Elephas maximus indicus: one gene and its partner. The main gene of each other region encodes a partner of the protein of the gene in region 2 in a complex. Links are inferred from orthologs where the notes say so. Each region holds a gene or a part of one and is shown on either strand. Other genes may lie near its edges.

Evidence for each region. The genes of interacting proteins can lie anywhere in the genome.
Region 1: the proteins of SRRT (region 2) and NCBP2 are in contact, whole or in part, in a cryo-EM structure (PDB 8PMP), measured with the Homo sapiens proteins. The link is inferred for Elephas maximus indicus from reciprocal best matches to the Homo sapiens genes SRRT and NCBP2. Residues at the interface, in NP_056992.4 of Homo sapiens: Asp857, Arg859, Ala860, Ile861, Val862, Glu863, Tyr864, Arg865, Ala869, Asp874; in NP_031388.2 of Homo sapiens: Ser48, Phe49, Tyr50, Thr51, Thr52, Glu53, Gln55, Lys67, Met71, Leu73, Met76, Lys77, Lys78, Thr79, Ala80, Tyr89, Asp107, Glu121.

The regions. Positions count from the first base shown.
Region 1 is NC_064819.1:18,463,231-18,470,148, forward strand, and holds the start of NCBP2 (nuclear cap-binding protein subunit 2), read right to left. Parts: upstream 3,018-6,918; 5' UTR 2,934-3,017; coding exon 2,856-2,933; intron 1-2,855. Other genes in the region: protein NCBP2AS2, read left to right, coding at 3,116-3,404, 3,562-3,608. UniProt on the Homo sapiens protein: Component of the cap-binding complex (CBC), which binds co-transcriptionally to the 5' cap of pre-mRNAs and is involved in various processes such as pre-mRNA splicing, translation regulation, nonsense-mediated mRNA decay, RNA-mediated gene silencing (RNAi) by microRNAs (miRNAs) and mRNA export.
Region 2 is NC_064830.1:92,231,855-92,239,039, reverse strand, and holds the start of SRRT (serrate RNA effector molecule homolog), read right to left. Parts: upstream 3,013-7,185; 5' UTR 2,718-3,012; intron 2,535-2,717; 5' UTR 2,398-2,534; coding exon 2,276-2,397; intron 1-2,275. Other genes in the region: TRIP6 (thyroid receptor-interacting protein 6), read right to left, coding at 3,991-4,122, 4,238-4,358, 4,594-4,772, 5,187-5,356, 5,469-5,562, 5,875-6,258, 6,553-6,678, 6,781-6,908 and 1 more. UniProt on the Homo sapiens protein: Acts as a mediator between the cap-binding complex (CBC) and the primary microRNAs (miRNAs) processing machinery during cell proliferation.

The DNA of each region.
Region 1 (6,918 bases), on a different chromosome or scaffold from region 2:
AATGGGTTTCCAAAGATTAGGGTTTCCTTGAAATGCTCCCATAGAGACCATTCAAAAACAACAATTGCTTAGATGGTTTACATGCTTATATGGTTTTCTCTGAGTTAGGAGAGCATGTAGTGATCACTAAAAACAAAAGCCATCTCACATTCTTGATGGACTTCCTAATTTGGAAGATAGGATAAAGCCAGAGACAGAAGTGTAACTGGGTTTCCACAGAAACACCTGACAACCCCTGGGAACAAGATGGCTCATCGTGGGCTAGATGTGGTAACTTAGAGGACTTCACAGAAACCAGTGTGGCCGTCTGTGGGCGTTCTCTTCCAGCTTCCACACTGGGGAGGACAGATGCTTGATTAATAGAAGGCCTACCAGCTGACCTGCTCTCAGGCCCTCCTGACCCAGGTAAGGCTCTAACATGAAGCATATACTGAGTTTGGATTTAAGATGACCCTTCTTACACCTAACAGTGGCATTCCAGCTTGGAAAGCGGTAGCTGAGTAAACTCATACTGAGCCCCACAGCACTTTCCCAGGAGCCCTGCATGTGTCATGGTGGTCCAGTTTCCCTCACTCTGAGAATACGACCTTGCATTATTCGTCTCTGAGTGTTTTGCAGCACAGTGTGCAAAGTAAAAGGTCTCGTGTGATCACAAGCAGTGGCAGATTAGAGAAACAGTGAAACCATCCAAAGGAAACTGATTAAATTAATTACAGCACACTGATATAAAACCATGCTGTGCCAATAAACCTGTACATCTCCATGCAGGGACAGGGAACACCTCCCAGATGGAATGCAGGACGGTGTGAAGCGTATGCTCCAAATTGTATTTTTTAAAAGCATGAACTGATAACTGTTTCTACCTGTGGGGAGAATCAAGGGACTGCAAGTCAGACTTAATGTATGCCATCTCACCTAATCCTTAAAACAACTGTATGAGGTAGGTCCTAACTTATTATCCTCACTTTACACGTGAGGAAAAAGTCAGTAACCTGTCCCAGTCCCAGAGCTACTCAGCAGTTATAACTGCAATTCAAGCCTAGTCTAGTCCTCAATCCCACACTGCTTTAGAAAATCCACAAGGGAACAGGCGTTCTTTGTTAACGATAGGTTCTCAAAGCTCTGGAATGAGACATCAGGGAATGTAGATTAACTTTTTATTACTGCTGTTACTGATTTGTTAAAATTATGGTCAGGAGGCAGTTTCACTTTTCTCATACACGTAAGAGATGTCCAAACAGCCAGCCTGTGGCTTAAGACAACTGTGGTCTAAGTGCTTGCTTAAGGTATGATATGAATGTGGATTCCTTTCAGGGAACACTAGCAATTCTGCATGACAGTACTGAACTTTAAGCTTTAAATTGCAGAGATGAATAATAGCAAAAGTCTAATCCTTTCAGTCTGCACCTTGCAGGATGGTCTAAATTCAAGATGGTTATGATGTGGAACTTTCTAAGGTAACAAGAACTGTAAAAGTGGAAGAAGTGAAATCATGCCTCGCACATAAAACCAAAAACCAAACCCACTGCTGTCAAGTCGATTCCGACTCACAGCGACCCTAGAGGACAGAGTAGAACTGCCCCATAGAGTTTCCAAGCAGTGCCTGGCGGATTTGAACTGCGGATTTGAACTACGGCTGCTAACCTCTTGGTTAGCAGCTGTAGCACTCAACCACTACACCACCAGGGTTTCCCCTCGCACACAGTAAGAATTTAAAAACTGTTGGCTGAGTGAATGAATTTAAGATCCTCGTCGGTTTAGCCTCAAACAAAAGTTCCTTTTCCCTGCCCTACGAACACATTGTACACATTCTCCATGCTGCTCTCTCATCCCTTTCTGCCCCTTTCTTCCCAGTCACAAATTGTTATCCCTCTTCTGAATCCTCACAACCCCTGCGTTTGTGCTCACCATTTCTGCTCTGAATTACGATGACTTGCTTCCATTTACAATCCCTACTAGAGGCTCATTAAAGTTTAGAGTGCAGAAACTGACTTCCCCTCTCTCTCTATGGCTTAGCAGGTTTCCTAACAGCACCCAATAAACCCAATGAAAACCTAAATAACTGGATTAATGAAACCGTCTCCTAATTATTCCCGGCACCCCATACCTGCCATTCCTAATACCGAAAAGCCCACAATGAGAATGCAGCTAAATTCTGCAGCCTTCTTCTCTTTCACAAATCTCCTGACATAGCCTAAACTAAAAATTTCCTCTTTTAAAATTCAGCAGTTCTCTGATCTTGACACCCAGACATCCTCTAAGTGCCCAGCTTGGCTGGTCCACCTCCCCATCCCTAGGGTTCGGGCAGGGCTCAACTCCCATCCAAAGCGCAGAACATGGTAGAACCTTCCTACAGGCAAAGAAAAGGGGTCAAAGCGCCAAAGGCTATTGTTTCTCTCATCGCATTTTGAAAAGCAAGCCCTGGTAGCCGGGTAAGGAAGGCGCGCCTCCACATACTCCGGAGGCAAACGGACAGCCCTGCCCCTCATCTCAAAACCACCTCCCCGAGGCACAGGCCCTGAAAATGAGAACCACCCCTGCCGGCTGCTGCTACTACCACTACTACTACTACTACTGCCGCCGTCACCACTACTACTGCCTGAACACTCCTGCACTGGCCCGGGTACACGGAGGGCTGCAAGGGAATGAGAAAGCGAGCCCCAAACTCCCTTTTTAGACAGGAACTGGCTTCAGTGAAATACAAACACCCGCCCAGTACCCATTCCCTGCTTCCCCGGGCAGCACTGCGGCCTCACTTCGCTTCTCGCGACACGAGCAGGATGAGAGACGACACAATGAGATTAGAGCAAACCGTTTCTCAGCGTTCGGCCCTTGGGCGGCCCGGTCTCCCTCACCCGGAAGTGCTGATCCCGGTACTGGCTCAGCTCTACGTAGGAGTCACTGCGCAGCGCCTTCAGGAGGCCACCGGACATAGCGCAAAGAGGTGGACGGCGACGCCGCAACTCCGAGAACAATGAAACGGCGGCGGCGACACCGGCGGCGGAACCGGAAACGCGCGGAGGCGGCCGCCGGAAGCAGAGAGAGCGGGAATGCTTGGGCCCAATCCGAGCGCGGCAGTGTCGTCATCAGACGGCGCGGGCGCAGACCCGGTCCGATGTGGGGCGCCGCCGACCGGAAGGCTAGAGCCACGTGCCCCGGGTTCCGGGGAGCTGCGGAGAGGATGGTGTTTCGGCGGCTGCTTGCAGCTCTGCTGCACAGCTCGCAGCTGGTGGAGCGTCTCTCGGAGTCGTGGCCCATCCGGCGTGCGGCACAGCTCACGGCCTTCGCGCTGTTGCAGGCCCAGCTGCGCGGTAAGGAGGCGGCCCGGCGCGCTGCCCGCTTCAGAGACGCCTTCAAACAAGAACTGCGCCGCGGCCTCCGGGACCGCCCGGGGTCACCACCAGGTAGCCGGAAGGGCCCGGGCGCAGACCCTTAAGACCGGGCTGGGCTGGGCCGAGGTCGTCCGCCCTCGGTCTGGGCTGTACATCGGTCTCGGCGCTGCGGGGTCATTGCGGGCACTGAGCGCGGCTCCGAGTCCTGACTCCGATTCTCGGCCTACAGAGGTCATACGCATTAGAGAACCCAGACCAAACCGACAATCTCTCTGAAGCTATGCAATCGAGTGATCGTTCAGGCACAGTCTGGAGAAAGACTCTGGAGCCCGACAGAGATAAAGACCCGTGGACAGAACCACAGCCGGAAAGGGAGCTTGTCCTCTGCAATCGGGACCAGAACTCTTGATGGATGCTGTTGTCTCTGCCCTGATAGAACACTACTTGCGGGGAAGATCATCGATGAAAAGACAGCCCTGCAGGTGCCAAATTCTCTGATTAAATGTGTGAGCTGATTAATGAGTCTGAGTGTGGTGCTTCTCAGGTAAGATGGATTAGGAATCCTGGGGGTATAGGCTCATAGTAATAATAGCTAACATACCGAGTGCTTTCTCTGTTTTGGCACTTGCTAATTGCACACTGGGTGAGATACCTCCTTTACTACCTACGATCACTTTCTTAAAAGGAAGTGATTACTTAAGTTGCCCAAGGCCTTACAGAGGGGGGACGTAAACACTGGCAATTGACCCCAGGGCCTCTGTCCTTAATTACCACGTACGCAGCATTTACCCTGACCTCGTATGTTCCCACCCACCCACCACTACCAGACATTGGGATAATGGCCCACCGGGGAACAAACTACCTGTGTTCCTAGTTCCCATTTTAGAGTATCTGGGATACAGACTAAGAAAGATTATGGTCCAGCTAATGAACCCGTGATTAGGAAATCTGTTCTGTACAGAAATGCCCTGTCATCTGAGGTACCTGGTTGATTTTGATTGTAATGAGCCTACACAGTTAATCATGCAATCTAGAAAGCTTGAAGCCACAGGAAAGGCTTTTAAGCTGGTGACAGACAATTTATACCCTGGCTTTTCTGACGGGCAGGGAGAGTGAGCTGCAAAGGTCCTAGACACCTACCCTGGGGGGTTCAAACTCATGCTTGCAGGGGTGAAGCAATGAATGTTTAGGGGACTCTGAGAAGCTGGAAAGCCCCTGACCCATCTGGAGGGGTAGCAGCTACTCTGTCAGCTAGTTTTGCGCTGTGGGACTGTGGCCTGGTGGTGCTGGACCTCCTATTTGTTTCCTAGGAGAAATCTGGCTCCTTTATTACTTCAGGCCTAACAAAATGGCTATGGGCTACCATTTTCCTACCTCAGCTCTGGCCCTGTTCTTCTTTGAAAAACGGTGTTACACAGTATGGGGGCATAAAGGCTTCCTAGCCATGTTTTTTTTTTTTTTAACTTTTATTGAGCTTCAGGTGAACGTTTACAAATCAGGTCAAACTGTCACATATAAGTTTATATACACCTTACTCTGTACTCCCACTTGCTCTCCCCCTACTGAGTCAGCCCTTCCAGTTTCTCATGACAATTTTGCCAGCTTCCAACTCTCTCTATCCTCCCATTCTCCCTCCAGACAGGAGATGCCAACACAGTCTCAAGTGTCCACCTGATACAAATAGCTCACTCTTCATCAGCATCTCTCTCCTACCCACTGTCCAGACCCTTCCATGTCTGATGAGTTGTTTTCGGGAATGGTTCCTGTCCTGGGCCAACAGAAGGTTTGGGGACCATGACCGCCGGGATTCCTCTAGTCTCAGTCAGACCATTAAGTATGGTCTTTTTATGAGGATTTGGGGTCTGCATCCCACTGATCTCCTGCTCCCTCAGGGGTCCTCTGCTGTGCTCCCTGTCAGGGCAGTCATCGATTGTGGCCGGGCACCAACTAGTTCTTCTGGTCTCAGGATGATGTAGGTCTCTGGTTCATGTCCTAGCCATGTTTTATATTAGTATTGTTTTTGTGCAGGCAGCCCTGTTTACTTTTCATTTTTATAGTTCTTCTGCATCAGTGTCAGTCTGGAAACTTTTCCTAAGAAAAGGACCCTTCTGGCCACCTTTCTTATCTCCATTAGTAAGGGATGAGGCATGGACTGCTACCTCTGAAACCGACAATGGAACCTTCTCCCACAGATCCCCTCCCAAACCTGCATCAGGCCAGCTCTGCAAGTGGACCCAGTGCGATTGCTTTCCAAGGTACAAAAAGATACCCCTGAAATAATGCTGCCTGTACCTACTGGGCTAGTTGTCTGTCCTTTTTTTCTCTGAGCACTACCTGGCCTGCCCATGGGGTGTATTTTCTACAGCCTTGTTTTTGTTCCCTGGCCATAGGAGATGGTTCAGGGTGGACCAATAGGATGCAAATGCCTAGAAATTTGGCCCCAAGACAGAATTGCTGGGAACCATGTTAGTGGCTATGACCCAAAGAGAAAGTCTCAAAAAGTCTGCTGCCAAGGGACCCTCGTTCTGCCCTTTTCAAGTATCAAACAACTCCAGATTCTGGGAGATAAACAGTATCCTTACACTAAAAGCTTTTCTCCCCCAGGTTAGTTCTATTACTTATAATCCAAAGAGCGTTAACTAAACTGGGAAACATTTCACTGTGAAGGTAAGAAATAGATTGAAAGTATACCTGAAAAAGAGTAGAAATAAACCACTGAAAGTGGGACTGTCAGTGAAAGCAGAGGGATAGCTATTAAGAGCGCTGGCTATTTGAAAGGTAAGGGTGATGGAGGAACTTAACACTCAAGTGTGGAGGGGAGATTGCCAAAATTAGCCCTATTTCCTTTGACCTGAGAAGGTCAAAGGAGGTATTCAAGGTCCTGCCCCATCCATGTTTAAAAGGAACATACTTTCAGGCTATAAATACAGTTATTTCTCCTGAGAATGGAGAAACTAGCTTGTTCTAATGGTCAGTTATTCTTGTGAGTTGGCATGAGGTGGCATCTCACCCTCCAGTCTCCCATTAGAGATGCTGCAGTTAAATACTCTCCAAGGCCAGAGGTTCCCCACTGCTAATGACCAAAGTCCTGGTCTGGCATCCCATCCTTCTGTCTGAGGGGCTGTCAGATCCCCCCTCTCCAGGGCATGTGGGGTTCTCCTTGGAGTCTGAGGACCTCTTTGGTCTCTGGATGAGTATTAGCAGTCTCCAGCCCAGCCCCACCCCCAGCATAAACAAGCACACTCACTGTTGAGTCTTTTAGTGGTGGGACCAGTGCGGGAAGCAGTGCAGGAAGCAGTGAAGCTTCCAGACGAATTGGCCACTTGGAAGGGAAGGAAGCAAGAGAAGGAGGCAGTTCCTTATTTTCCCTGGAGGAAGTGTACAAGGACTATGTTTTCTCTGTTTTTGTAGAAGGGATCTGAGAGCACACAGAAAATATGGTCTTTCTTTCTGCTCCAGCCCAAGGTGATTTGGGCCATCCCTCCCCGCAGTGGCCTGCCATTGTAGCAGTTCCTCTATGACTGAAGAAACAGACTTCTCTCCGCCACCTCCAGTGGTGGCAGTCTCCCAGCATGCTTTTTCAAGC
Region 2 (7,185 bases):
AAATTTAGTATTTATTCACTTATAGAAGAAGCCCTAGTAGCACAGTGGTTAAGCACACAGCTGCTAACCAAAAGGTCAGTGGTTCAAACCCACCAGCTACTCTGAAGGAGAAAGATGTGGCAGTCTGCATCCATAAAGATTTCGACCTTGTAAACACCATGGGATAGTTCTACTCTGTTCTCTAGCGTTACTACGAGTCAGACTCAACTCGACGGCCATAGGTTTGGGCTTTGTTTGGTTTATTCACTTTTAAATTACATTTAATATAAACTACATGTTTGTGTAAAAATTACTATTATCCAAAACATTTTAGTGAGAAAATGGCATTGTTTCATATTTTACAAATCTCTTTAAGGTCTAGTTTAACAGAAGACAGGATTCTATTATTTGCTTCCACATTCAAATCTATTGTGCCATGTTGTTTTGGTCGATGTATATGCAGAAAATTCAGCCTCACACTGATATGTAATTTGAAAAGGGAGTACTATGGTAGGCTTTTCAGGTAATTACGGATAGCGTTCTTTGATACTTCTTAAAACAAGGGTAGTTTTAAGGTTAGTTGCAATGTGGCCTCTGAAATCTTATCAGTGAACTCGTCGGCTACGTTATACTCTGCTACGTTAAAATCCACTCTTCTACCTTGCTCTTTCAACGACTTTTGACACATTTCATTGAACAATATAAAAATAACAAACATTACCAGCTATCTCAGACACGTATCGAGAGTCTAATAAAATTAATCACTGTGACTGCTTCATCAGGACCAGTCTTCAATGAAACTGGCAGTGAAGAATACAATAATGACTACTGACACAGTTTGGCACCACTGCCTTAATTTGTGCTAAGGTGCCAGGAGTTTTATCCACCATTGCTATAGCACCATCAGTGCAAATGTCACTATAGTTAAAGTTTCAGTAATACCTTAGTATTTCTATAGTTTTAACCTCACAGACATCTGAAAGGGTCTCGGGGACCAAGGGCCTGTGGACCGCCATTTTGAGAATCACTACTTAAACCAAGCCAGAATTTGTACTGTTTTCTGCACACAATGTACATCCACAACTCCAACATACTCCCTCCATCTGTGTTTGGGGAATTCCCCCATATTCTTCCATGTCTGGCTAAGTGCCACCTCTCCCGTAACCAGGACAGACCACCCTGATACCCTCCTTTAGAAGGATTTTCCCTCAGTGCTTTTTATGATCTTCTTTTATATATGCTCATTTGCAGTATAGCCCCAAGGCCACTCCAAACACTCCTTAAAGGCAATGACTACATCTTATCCATCTTCAGAACTCCTTTCTCTTCCAACATTCTTAGAAAATACCCAGGAAAACAGGGTGGCCAGGTAGGATCTCCACAGCTAAGAGATACGGTGGGTGGCGAGTTGAATGATTAACTGAACTCTTTTTCCCAAATGATACTGATGAATAAAAGTTATCACAATAAGTCACCGCGAACTCTTTGTAACAGTCTGTTTCCAAATGGGGCCTGCCATCAGCTCACTGATGTCAGCCGCTTAGATTAAAAAAAAAAAAAAAACCACCTGTATTTCCAAAAAACAATAAACCTTGATTATTTAAAACCCTATCAGAAGTTTAAGGTAAATACCCTAACTATAATTAACTCAAAAACATCCCAGCAACCTAATCACTAGCATATTCAAACCTAACCAATTAACTCAATTAGCACTGTCCAAAGAACTCTTTTTGAAATTTTAGGCAAAACAATTACAAGAAATTTTATCATATCCTGCCAGGGAACTAAGCGGTCTTACAATCTCCGCAGTGAAATCAATCCTATAATAACATTGCTTCTGCATTAACGTTTTGGAGGTATAATTTACAAACGATAAAATACACAGATTTTAAGTGCACATATAAATATTACTTCTTTATACTTAAACTCAGATTTTCAGGATAGTTCAAAAATCAAGCATATAAAAAATCAATTCAAACAGTATAAAGTGTTTACGGAAGAGAAGGTACTCTTGGGAGCAATTCAGAATGACACTGACAAGGATGCTGATAGAAAAGCTAATTTCTTTTCATTTACAAAATGCTTCCAAAGTTTAAAAAAAGACACATGCTTTTCTGGCTAACAACAAACACGATGAACCGTATGAAATTGCCGTTTCTGTACACCAAGACCGTCAAGTATCATAAGTTTAATTAAGGTTCAGCCTAATAAAGTCATAGGAGAAAAGTTAATAACAGGGGATTGTAAACAGAATGAGACTGGAAAACAAAACAGAGAAAAAGCTTAAATGTCTCACCGGTCATTCCAGTCGTCCCCTCGACGTCTTTCATCTCTTTCCCGAGAACGGTCATAGTCGCTGCGCTCTCTTCTAAACTTGTCCCTGCGCCTTCGATCATACTCGTCATCACTGTCACCCATAGCACGGTCTGAGGGGGCCTGAGGCCCAGGGAGGAGTAGTCAAGATGTTGATGAACAATGACGAGAAGAGGAAAGGCTCGCCTCCCTCCCGCAAGGGCCTGCCTTCCGCTGCTCCCGCCATCCTAATCTCTTTTTCCCTGGCAAGTGGATGAAATGAAAGGCTCCGATACTTCCGCTCGCCCCACGGGTCTCCCCGCCCCACCCATGGCGGCCCAGGCCCGACAGCCGCCTCCAACGGCTCCCCGCCGGCCCTTGGGCCCGGGTCCCTGAGTCTCGCAGCAGCGCGGGCCGCAGGCCCTGGCATCCGCCCCTCCCCCCACCTGGGATCGGTCGCGGCCGTTGGCCTAGCGCTCCGGCGGGCTTCTTCTCCGGGCGGCCCGGGCCCGCGTCTTCGCTTCTGGCACGCGACGAGAACAACGCGCGCGGTGAGACCGAGACGCGAGGATCTCAGCGGAAGGAGTCGGAGAGACTAGAAGAAAGCAGGGCGGCAGAAGATGGGCAGTCGGCGCGCGCCGTTCACACCGCGCTTGCGCCACTTGCCGAACGGCGCTAACTACTCCTTTCGCGCCGAACTGGAACTACAGCGGACGATCAGGGCTAAGGCGGGGAGAACAGAAGGATGATGGGAGGAGGCGGGGCCAGGAGGTCTCGCGTGTCTTCCTGCACGAGAACTGCCAGAGCGAGAAAAACTACGGGAGTCGGGCAGAGCCAAGCTTAGCCGCCGTGGTAGCGCCTTTTGGGCGTGAGAGAGTGTTCTCTCACGTGTGTCCGGGGTCTAAGACAGTTCGCATCCAGCCGTTGCCCTCCGACCTGATCTTTTTATTTGGGGTTCCTTCTGACCTCATCGAGAGTGGCTTCGCCCTTTGGGCAGGGCAAGGGCATGGGCTTGGGGAGTGTTGGCCTTAGGGGAAGAGAGCAACCATTTTAAAGTCTCTCCTCCCACCATTTCGTGCTCCCACACAGACCGTACGTGCTACCTGCAAAACCCATTGTTCCTGCACTTCGACAAAAGTGCCCACTTTTAAACAAAATTGGCAGATCTGAGCGTTATCTCAAACCAATAGTTTCATGATCATGGTTGTGTAGAGGCCTGACCAATAGGCAGCATCTTGCCTGCCCCCAGATTAAATGCACCACCACCCAAAATGGATAACTCCAAGTCCTTTTTCAATTATTTGAGTATTAAGGCTTAATAGGGAACATTGCTTCTCTAGAGCATACTGCAGCCTTGCTCCCAGCACTGAGAGGAGGAGTATCTTTACACTAAAAAGAACAGTAGAATTGCAAAAAAACTGGACCGGGACTAAGATCAGGTTCGAATTTTGGTTTTGCCATTTGGGAAGCATGCCATCTGGGAACCTCACTTCTCAGCTCTAGAATTCTCACAAAGAAACAACAAATCAGGATTGTATCTGAGGCTGCTATGAGAATCAGATGAAAAAAATAAACTTGAAAGTGTTTTGTAAACTCTTGCAGAATTATTATTTCATAATTAGAGGAAGAAGAGACAGCATTTGGTGACAATTGTAAAGGTAAACATCAGGGAGGGTGGTCGACAGGAGCAGAGAATGCAGCAGATGCTTCTGGGAAGACTCAGCAGTCAGTGGTGACAGTCGCTGAGAGCTCCTGGATGCGCCAGGCGCTGCAGGACTTGCACAAGATGTGTCCGTCCAGTGGGTAGCAGCCTTGACACTCACCCTCAGAGGAGAGCAGCAACCCACACTCCTGTTGGGAAAGAAGCAAGAGCTTTCCATCAGCTTTTAACCCCTGGGTTCTTTCTCCCTCAGGCTTAACCATACCCAGCACCCCAGACCTGTTCCTCTTGCCCAGGCCCCCTGACCTCACACTTGTAACAGCCAATATGAAAACTTCGATCCAGAGCAACAATTCGCACAGTCTCCTCCTGCCCTGGCTCAGGCATGATGGCCCCGCCACATACTGAGCATCGTGGAGCAAACTTCCTAGGGTGAAAGGGAACTAATGAGGCTATCAAGACCGGAGTTGAGGGGACTAATGATGGAGCCCCAAGAAGGTGGGATGCCGGAGGAAACAGGAGAGACCAGAGGTATGGTCTTGGATACTGGGGAAGAGAGGTATACCAAAGAGAAGGAGGCAGGTCCAGGGTTGGAAACAGGAGTAATCGATACTGGGGCATGAAACAGAGGTGAGGGAGATGGAAAGGGTTATCATGCTGACCTGTGGAAGTCCTCAATGCAGTGGATCTGGCTGGTGGCATCCACCGTGAAGGGGATGCCATCGAGGCCACGGTGACACACCACACAGGTGAAACAGCCAGGGTGGTAGGCCTTCCCCATAGCCCGAAGGATCCGGTCCAGGATGGGCTGGGAGCACATGGAGCACTTCTCCAGGGTGGCCTGTTGGGAAGGGGAGCAGGAAGGTCAGGGGACCCCATGGTAGCCCTTCAGGCATCCTGCCAGCCTACCCATCTATTTACCTAGCCTCCTGCATGTGATTCAGTGAAAGGTGGACCTGAGAGGATGAGTTCAAGTCCCAGCACTACAACTTACTGGACAAGTCATTTAACCCCTCTAAGCTACAGTCTCCAGTAAAAATGTCATCAACGATAATACCTGCCTCACAGGGCTAATGTGGGGATTTAATTTATTCCCTTAACTCTAAAATGCTTCACACTTGTAAGGAACCATTGTCTTCCCCCTCCAACAGGTTCTAGTTCTCCAACTTTGAGTCCTTTTCCTTTTTGGGGCTGGCCATCTGGCTCCCACCTATCTCCAGCTGCTGACTCCAGCCACCCAGCCCGAACCACTTACCACATAGCAGCTCTCACAGTACGCCCTCCTCTCCACAGCATAGAAATGCTGGCCCTGAAGCTGGGCCCGGCACGTAGAACAGACAAAGCAGCCAACATGGAAGACTCGGTCAAGGGCGACCACTCCGGCCCCATCCCCCACCACATCTTCTCCGCAACCCCCACACCGGCCTAGGGATAGTGGGGAAAAGGTCAATCTACACAGACCCAGAAGCCAGACCCCCACATCCTCTGCCTCTCCAGTATCACCTCCCCATGCTCCCACACTGCAGAGGCAGCTCACCAAAGTACTCCCCGCTGGGTGGGTGATTCATGTCATGCACCAGCTTCTTGGTCAGCCTCTCAAGCTCCTCCTCTGGAGGCTGGCTCAGGGGGACCTGGGAGGTGGGAATCAGGGGTTTGGTCTTACCTCTGGACTTCTGGCACTATAAAAATCCCTGTGTGTGACATGACATGCGATTCAACCCAGAAAGCCCATTTGAGAGCAGCTCAGCCCAGGACCCAGGGGAGAGCCTCGAGGAGACACCAGTGCTCTACCCCCTCTCTGGCCTCCCCCACACCCTTTGGGAATCCAGAGCTCTGACATCCCCGACCTGTGACTCTGCTCTAAAACCAGGACATTAAACACCATCCTCACCCCACCCACTCAATATCCAGTTGTCTATAAAATCCCAGTGCCGTGGACCTACCTGGGACCCGTACCTGCCTCCTCTTCCTCCTCCTGCAGGGCCAGGGACCCTGGCAGCCTCCTCTTTACCCCCTGGCCCTGGCTCCCGGTGGCTCCTATAGCCAGCCCCCCAGACTTCACCTCGGCTGGGAAGAGGAAAGTGGGGCCCCAGGAGGGGCCTAGAAGCCTGAGAGGCCCCCCGCCTGGGTGGGCCACAGCCTCTCACTGGTTGTGCCACCTTCACCTGCACAGGGAAGGCAGGGCCAGCAGGGGTGCTGGCAGTAGCATAGGAGGCCGGAGTGGGACCTCCATAGGGGGATGCTGGGAGCTGCAGGGATGGAACACCCCCTCCGTTCGGCTTCAGGGAGCCCGTGCGGTAGGCAGGGGGCTGAAGGGGCTCATAAGCCTGGGGAGAAAGAGACCACAAAGAGTAAGGAAGGCCCATTCCAGGTCACACATCTGTGGAAACCCCACGTGTGGCCCCAAGATGGGCAACTTTTGAGGAGACACTGCCCTCAGGTGGCTGACTACCTAGTAAGCTCTCTGGCCCAGGCTTCTTCATGCTGGGCGTACATCTCTCACACAGGAGTAGGACGGAGGTGGGTGGAATTCAGACTGAGAATCAATCCAGGGAAGGGAGCAGGCTGGAGGTGTGGGAAGCAGGGGACAGTAAGCAGGGTTAGGGAAGGGGAGGAGTCACCTGTCGGTCTGGTCGCCTTGGCACGTGACCACGACCCCCATCCAGCTCAGCCAGCATGCTGGTCAGCGAATCTATCTCAGCATCCAGACTTCCTGGGCCCAAGCTCCCTCTATCTAGGGGGAGCCCCTGGAGATGGAGCAAAAGCAGGGAGATGCAAATCACAACGTCTCCTCTGCCTCCCCGGGTCCCATTCACACTCGACTCATGCCCCCCACTTCCAGTATTCACCTGCGGGCGCTGGGGTGCTCCATGGGACCCCCCCCAGGCTGGCCCCCGATCCTCTGGTCCCCCTCCGGCCTGGTAACACTGCTCAGATGGGAGGGGGCAAAAATTGACTCTGGGGTGGGGCTGGAGTGCTGGGTTGAGGGGAAGAGAGACCAAAGGTAGGGATGGAGAAGACGAGGGGCGCCAAGAGGGCCCCGCCTTTCCCTCCTCCTCCACCTGGGGTCTGAGAATGGGGGCAGGCAGGACCTCCCAGCCCGCTTGGGGGAGGGGGCAAGAGTGGAGGGAAGAGGCGAGCGCTGGGCAACCGGCGGCCCCTACGGCCGCACCGCACCGGGGCTGCCTTACCTGCTCCGTGGGCCACCGGTGGCCCTGGGGGCCCTCGAGGGAACACTCTCCCCTGAGGAGCTC